Linked DNA regions of Pelodiscus sinensis. The protein of the gene in region 1 purifies or fractionates together with the protein of each later gene. This does not show direct contact. Links are inferred from orthologs where the notes say so. Each region holds a gene or a part of one and is shown on either strand. Other genes may lie near its edges.

Region 1 (3,749 bases):
CAATAGATAGAGAAGAAGCTTGTGCAAGACACTGCTGTTTTTAGACAACTAGGCTTTTTATAAAGTGTCATTAACTGCAGCAAAGCACAGGATTTGGATCAAAATCAAGTTTTTATTTAAGTCTCTGAGTGAGATACCAAAATTGGTAAGCTATAAAAAGACTGCCCTTTCCATGCAACACTGCCTGTTGGCATTAGGTTTGATTCTTGATGAATTTAGCACTTCATTCTCAAGTCTGACAAAAATGGATGAGATTGAGATTCATTTGAGGAAGTTGTACCAAATATTTTTCCATATTGTAGATTAATGGTCAGACTATGACTTTAAGTAAGTGGTGCTCTGAGTCTGGAGTCTCAATGCAGGATTGAGGCCTACATAATGTATTAGTGTGAATTTAATTTATAGAACCAAGGGACACCATGAACTTAAAAGCCACATTTCTATTTGAACAGTTTATCTAACACTGTAAAAATGACACCTAAAATTGCTGGAGCTGAAAGAGAAAAAAAAGCATAAACATTTCTCTGCTTTTTAGTGGACTTTGTGCTTTTCACAGCCCTTTTCCCTAAGGAGTTTCTGTTTGTGTGGGTCTCATGCAAAGCAACAGGGACAAGACAAACATTTGGCAAATAGGAAAATAGTTTTCAAACTGACAATAATTGACAAGATGAACTCAAAGGTAGGTGTCCTGTATGAATTCACGTGTAAATTATAATTTGAAGATAATTAACTTACAAGATGAAAGGGGACACCAAAAATCTGAAATACTTTTCACCAGTGAACTGTTTTAAATATGTTTATAAAGTGTTATATACTTTTCACAAAATCTCCCTTCTGTTTTCAAGAAAAGACATTAATTAAGTGGGAACAGAGTAATAGGCACATGTTACCAGAAGATAGGAAAACAGCAGCTGTGCAGCATGCTTGGACACAAAGTCCTCAGGAATCACAAGGTCAGCCCAGGGTCTAGTTTTTCACTGCTCTTTTGCTGACTATGGAATCATTGTGGTAGTGATCGTAAGCAGAATAAAAGTCCTGCACTAAAGTTAGAACTGTTTCATGCTCTGCAATGGCTAGAAAAAGCAAATTAAACTTGTTGGAGCTTTATTCAGAAGAAAACAAAGATCAAATATATGAAAATGTCTTGGCTGAGATTGAGTCGTTTGAGCTGCCTCTTGGAACCAGTTTGAGGTAGGCATGGTTTATATAATATTTTATTGTACAAACTGTTTTTGTTGTATTTGTTGGCTGTTGTTTTCCCCACCCTCGGGTACTGGAGACCTAATTCTGCACACACTGAAAGCCATAGGAAAACGTCCTTTGAATTCAATGGGAGTAGGATTTGACCTTAAAGGAACAAGCATAGACTCTACTCAGCCCCTTCTCACCAGAACAAAGAGTGACTTTACAGACTTACCCAGGGGTGGGCAATAAGTTTTGCCCACTGGCCGCTTCAAAAAAATTTTAAGTGGTCACGGGCCGGCACGGGGCCTAATTCGGAAGGGGCGGGGCCAGAATGCTTCTGGGCTTCCCCACCCCCAGACCATAACTGGTTTGGGGGTGGTAGAGCCCATTTGCCCCTCCTTCCCACTAGGCACCCATGCCCCTGGCAGGGTGGGAAGAGGCTTCACACACTTCCCTGCCTCCAGGGCCTGCAAGAAACCATCCTGCGAGCAGCGCATGCCAGTTTGAAGTGTTGCACACTCTTCGCAGGGCCAGGGCAGGTCGAAGGAAGCTTCAGGCAGCTCTCCCACCCCTACGCCCTGATTGGCCTGGGGGCGGGGAGAATGCACGAAGCCTCCTCTTCCCACCCTACCCCCTGCAAGGAACACGCGGCATTTCAAAGTGCCACACGCTGCTTGAGGGTGGGAGGAGATGTCATGTGCTCCCTCGCCCCCAAGTCCTGATTGGCCTGGGGGTGGGGGAGCGGCAGGGCTTCTGCGGGCTGGATCCAGCACGCAGAGGCCCTTTTGCCCACCTCTGGACTTACCAAGTGCTCCATGAAGAAATAAATTACTTTTATAAATGAAACCAAGAAACAATGGCTGTTTTTCCTTAATGAAATGATTTAATTAAAATGCTTGAAAAAAATAGATGGGTAACTTTTAATTCGGATATTTTAAGACAGACACTACCCTTGTTTATCATCAAAGTCCCCCCCATGCACTACTAAACTTTATTTAGTGAAATTCCCACATGCCTTTGAAAAATTTAGATATAATGCATTTACAGTTTACTGAATTTTTGTGGACATGAAACTTATATATTAAAGATTGTATGTTTAGCTTTACTGGTGTCTGCAGCAGTGTTAGGATAGCTTGTCTGGTATTGCAGATGTCAGTTTGCAGTAAGGATTATACTAAAGAAAGAAACCATATATCTTTATTTAGAAATTTAATTCTTCCTGAAAATTGAATTTATTACCCTATTCTGTAAATAAAATTGGTGATGGAAAAAAGAACGTGGGAAGAATTTCACTATATTTCAATTATTTCTACAGGGAAATAATATAGCTAAGGTAGCTAAAACCTGTAAACGGTTTCCTCTTGAGTTTACGGTTTCCAGCCTTGTGAGTAGGGGGTGTATTTTTTTTACTACTTCCCTAACTGACATAGCTATGCAGCAAAACTTTCTACTATAGACCAGGGTTAACAGTATATTTCTAACTATTGACTGCACTAGTTTGTTGGACTCAGGAGTAAGTAAGTAGGCCAATTTGCAATATCTCTCTTCTGTATCACTGCCTGATCTGTACTTTGCAGGATTTTCTTTACAGTTAGAGAAACTCTCTGTAGCTGACAATGGATGCCACCAGTAGGTTCAGCTGAACATGATTTAGCTGCAACTGTAGGTGACACCCAAACTGCATTCAGTACTGTTTCATTAACTGTGGCCTAGTGCTTGATGATGGCTTAATTACTGTTTGTGCATTAGCTGTAATCATGTTCAGCACCATTTCACTTTCTGGGCTGTTCAGCTGCACCGGATGCTTTTAACTGTTAGCAAAGGTTAGCTTTTCTAGTCTATGAAACACCATAAATTCACTTTTAAGGATGAAATTTTCTAAAGTTGGCCTCCATTTGTGCACAGATGATTTTGCATTGTAAAAATATCCAGGTCTGGCCCATGAATGTTGGCAGTTTTTGGAACTCAAACCCAAATGTATCATAAAAAGAGAAAACAAGTATAAAAGCTCCTACTTCTCTGCAATAATAAGGAGCCTGATTAATGTTCCCTCTAATTTTTTCCATTCATTTGCAGAATAAATGTTCTTATGTGCACCAAGACATGTACAGATGTGCACCATCAGTAGAAACACATGCTTCTGGCTCTGGGTGCTTTGCTAATCAACTGGGCAGCATTTGAATCTCTCCAGGTGGCCACACATGTGCTTATAGGAAACACTAACCCTGATGTATCTGAGTCCAAAAGCAGTGGAAAACATGTATCTAGTACCCAGAGTCAACGGAATCTTGCATATTTTTATACCCAATCTGCCAAATTCTATAGGTTAAATAGAGAAAAAATTAAGCAGTTCCCATGAAAATAAATAACAATACTGAAAAGAAATCTATACTTAAGAAACTGATCTTGCAGTACCAAAAAACACCATCTTCTAACACCTGCATCTTGTTAGATTCAGTTTGTAATATTTTTATCCCACATACAAAATTTCTACTAGCTAAAGTGAAAAATACTACGAGCTGCTCTAATTCCACTGCAAAATGCATCACTGATCAACGGCACCA
Region 2 (3,749 bases), on another chromosome or scaffold:
ACACCGTAAACTGTAATCGACATGCTGGACAGCCACAAGGATGATCTCCACTAGACTTTCCAATAGAACCATGTGCAGCTCTGGGAAGTACAGCTTGAGGGCTTCCTCCAAGAAGGCCATAGTCTGCTTGGTGAAAGCCACCACAGTGTAGCTAAGATTCACCCAGCAGTCATCACCAGTGTATTGCTCAAAACTGCCCACCCCACAGCTCCTCATCTCCTCTTTGAGTTTCCCCAGAGCCTCTGGGGTCATCAGGTTCATCCTTCTCCACATTTCTTCAGAGTTGCGATGCTTGGTGGCTTCGATGATGATATCCTTGTAGCTCTGCAAAGCTCCTCTGATATCCTTCACCAACAAGGCATGAATGATGAAGGTGAGGTCCAACCCAATCTCGCTGAGCTGCTTGCAGTGCTCTTTCGCTACCTTCAATAATAAACGTTATTAATATTTATCTGGATATCACCTTCTAAACTAAATATTTTACAAAATAGTCTAGTTAAATCACCATATTCTCCTGAAAAGTATAAATAATGAAATATAAAGCAGAAATGAAGTAAGTCTTTTAAAAAAAAAGACATTGGTTTAATCTTTTTTTTTAATATTAGAAATGCAGATCTTCTCTGACATGGAACCACTAGAGAAGTAATAAAATCATGTTGTAAGGGCCTGAAAGCAGGGTAGTTAAATAATAAGAGAATTTTAGTATTTTTAAAGCTTTTTTGTGAACCCATATTCAGGTTAAATCCAATATACTCTTTGGAGAAAGGAATATTGAAACTTTTTTTGTTAAATAAAGTCTCTCTCTTCAAATAAGGTGTGAAAGAGCTGACAAACATTTACAATCTCTGAAGTGTCTTTGGGCAAAACCTGGGAAGACCAAACTTTGAACTCCCGATATTCACAGGATAAAACACAAGCACAAAAAACAAAACAGACAAAAAAAGCCTTTCACATAACATAAAGAAAACATGAACATAAGCTAATTTCCCCCTTTTGCCTGGCGCCTTTCAAGTGACCAGATCAAAGCCACAGAGGTAATCAGTAAGTGAACATAGCTTAAACATCAGAAGTTATTGTCTTCTTCCAGCAATGTGGTCAGTTCACTAGATCACTATCTTTCTAACACACTTACCTTCACACATTCAGCAGCAGTAGACAAGCTCTCTTTACTATCGAATACCTGCTTGCTAAAGGCATCTACAAACATCCTCACAGCTGAGCGGGCCCACACAATGAAGGCAGAGTAGCAGCCACTGTTGCCTGCAAAGTCTGTTTCAAATTCCCTAGCAGTCTCTAGCAAGCTGGTAAAAAAGACATGGCAAAGCTTGTGGATGTACAGCAAAGTGGCACCCTCAATGCGCAGTTGACGAATGGCTGTGTGTACGGCAGCTGCCCTATTCTTCAAGAAAAGCTCACATGCCTTGGTTGACTGGCCCAAGCGAATGAGCTGAGACACAGCCCGGCGAGTGGCTCTAGGACCGCCTCGTAATGATCGATCTGGAGATAGCTCAAAAACCAGTACATCAGTGAGCTGCCTAACTCTCTCATCTACCTTGGCTCTCAACTCCCTCACTGGCTGGTTCACGGGCTTGTCTCCCAAATACTCATTCAATTTATCCAACAGGTCAACTGCTCCCTCAAAATCTCTTTGGGCAATGCAGACATCTAGGTCTTCAGGCAACTCCTGGATCCACTCCATGGACAGATCTACTGTCTCTTCCTCGGGTGGGGGTTCCTTTTCATCTTCTTGTTCAAAAGGATTAGCGGTCTCAGGAGGTGGTGGAGCAGCCCGTGGCAGAGCCTCTTGCTCCAACCTCAGCTTCTCGCTGAGGGCGCGGTTCCGTTTGGTCTCCTCCAGCACCTCCAGCCACTCCTTCTTGATCTTGGCATTCTCAGCCTGGAAAATGCGACTTTCAGGAAACCTAAGCAGCTTGAACATGTCCTTCATGGGTGGGTTGTCCTTGACGTTGATCACAGCCAAGTCTTCCAGCGGGTAGAGCGCGTCGTAGCGGTAGGTGCCACGCCGGTTGGGCAGCCAGGCGGCCACCAGCAGGCAGTCGTTCATGAGGAAGGCGTGCACCCGCTGGACCTGCGCCATGTGGTCGGCGTCGTACTCCACCAGGTCCCCGTTGTAGACGAGGTACTTGCCGGGACTCTCGGGGAGCAGGTCCCGACAGCCCTCCACCTTTTCCAGCAGGGTGGTGAGGGTGCGCTGCCGCCCCTCCTCGCTGGCGGCGGCCTCCTTGGCCGAGAGCGGCAGGAAGGGGTTGCTGTGGGGGTCGGCGGCGGCGCGGCGGGCGCCCTGGGCGGGGTCGTCGCGGTCGGCCTGCAGCAGCAGGGCCTGGGTGACGGCCTCCATGATGCCCTTCTGCTCGGTGAGGATGTGGCTGAGCTGGTACATCTCGCTCTCCAGGTAGCTGATCTCGCGCGCCGTCTCGATGAACTGCCGGTAGTTCTGGTAGACGTTGCGCTTGAGGCTCTGCGCCGTCTCCTCGCTCAGCGCCTGGATGCGCTGCCGGTGCTCCTGCAGGTCCCGGTCCCCGTCCGACTGCTGCGACAGCTGCTTCACGTACTCGCCCGCGGCGAAGCCCCCCGACTCCAGCTGCCGCCGCAGCCGGCTCCCGCCCCCCGTGCCCTCCGCCAACGGCAGCGCCATGGGGCCCGCGGGCAGGGAGGCCGCCAGCCGCGACGCACCCACAGCGGAACGGAAGACGGGTGACAGGTACGGTGGCTACCGCGCCTGCGCCGGAAAACGGCTCTCCGCGCCACCTACTCCGCCATATCGCGCCTGCGCCTGGAGAGCGACCGCCTGTTGAATGACGTAATATCCCGGCGTCCGAGCCAGGTTAGCTGTCCTGCGCAGGCGCTGGTTGAGCCCCCTCCACCCGGGGGGTAGTACGCCTGCGCTGGACAGAGCGGAAGTGAAGTGTGGGATGTCAGTGGCGCACGCGCACGCGCAACGTTTGGGAGCATGCGCATGTGCGGAGAAGGCCGTCGGAGGCTGCCTAGCTGTATTGCGCATGCGCCGCAGTGGAAGTAAACGGTTGCCGGTTGGGAGACTGACAGGCTGGTGCTTCCCGCCCGCTCGCGCCGCTCCGGGATGGACGGAGACTTCCTGCTGGCGCTGCGGCTGCAGGCGCAGTGGGAGGAAGAGGATGACGCGGCGGCAGTGGCGGCGGCCTGTAGCGGGTCCCCGCCCGGCTCTTCGTCCCCGCCGCGGCCGCTCTCGGTGGTGGACGAGGCCTGGGAGCTGCTGGACCCGAGCCCCGACGTGCGCGGCCTCTTCGTGCAGTTCAACGAGACGCTCTTCTGGGGGAAGCTGGCGGCCGTGGCGGTGACGTGGAGCCCGCGCATGACGCTGTACGGTGCCGGCTGGGGGCGGGGGCAGCGGGAGCCAGGGAGCGCGCCCGGCCCCGGAGAGCTGGATCGAGCGGCCGCGCTGGGCCCAGAAACCCGCTGCCGGGAGCCGGGCGGCGTCTGGGGGGAGCCGGGAGCTCGCGGGGAAGCTGGTTTCGGGGCAATGTGGGGGAAAAACCGACGCGCGTCTGCAAAGGCGCCCGGGTCCCCGAGCAGGTCACTGAGTGATGCTGCGCCTGGGCCACTCGGGCAGACTCTTGTCAGCGGCGCCCCTCGAGGCTCACCGGGTGGCGGTGACTAGCGATGAGGTGCCAGGTCAGATGTTGGTGTTTCTGACGAACTTGAAATAGCTAATTCTTATGCCCTCTGCTCTGGAGGCGACCTGTTCAGAG

Evidence for each region.
Region 2: the proteins of EXOC6 (region 1) and EXOC8 purify together in Homo sapiens (affinity purification with mass spectrometry; 4 studies listed by BioGRID and IntAct, counting the BioPlex papers as one, with this or other methods). This does not show direct contact. The link is inferred for Pelodiscus sinensis from reciprocal best matches to the Homo sapiens genes EXOC6 and EXOC8.

What each region holds. Positions count from the first base shown.
Region 1 is NC_134718.1:42,542,900-42,546,648, reverse strand, and holds the start of EXOC6 (exocyst complex component 6), read left to right. Parts: upstream 1-996; 5' UTR 997-1,069; coding exon 1,070-1,191; intron 1,192-3,749. UniProt on the Homo sapiens protein: Component of the exocyst complex involved in the docking of exocytic vesicles with fusion sites on the plasma membrane.
Region 2 is NC_134713.1:123,879,682-123,883,430, forward strand, and holds the start of EXOC8 (exocyst complex component 8), read right to left. Parts: upstream 2,945-3,749; 5' UTR 2,657-2,944; coding exon 1,133-2,656; intron 424-1,132; coding exon 1-423. Other genes in the region: DNA-dependent metalloprotease SPRTN, read left to right, coding at 3,101-3,360. UniProt on the Homo sapiens protein: Component of the exocyst complex involved in the docking of exocytic vesicles with fusion sites on the plasma membrane.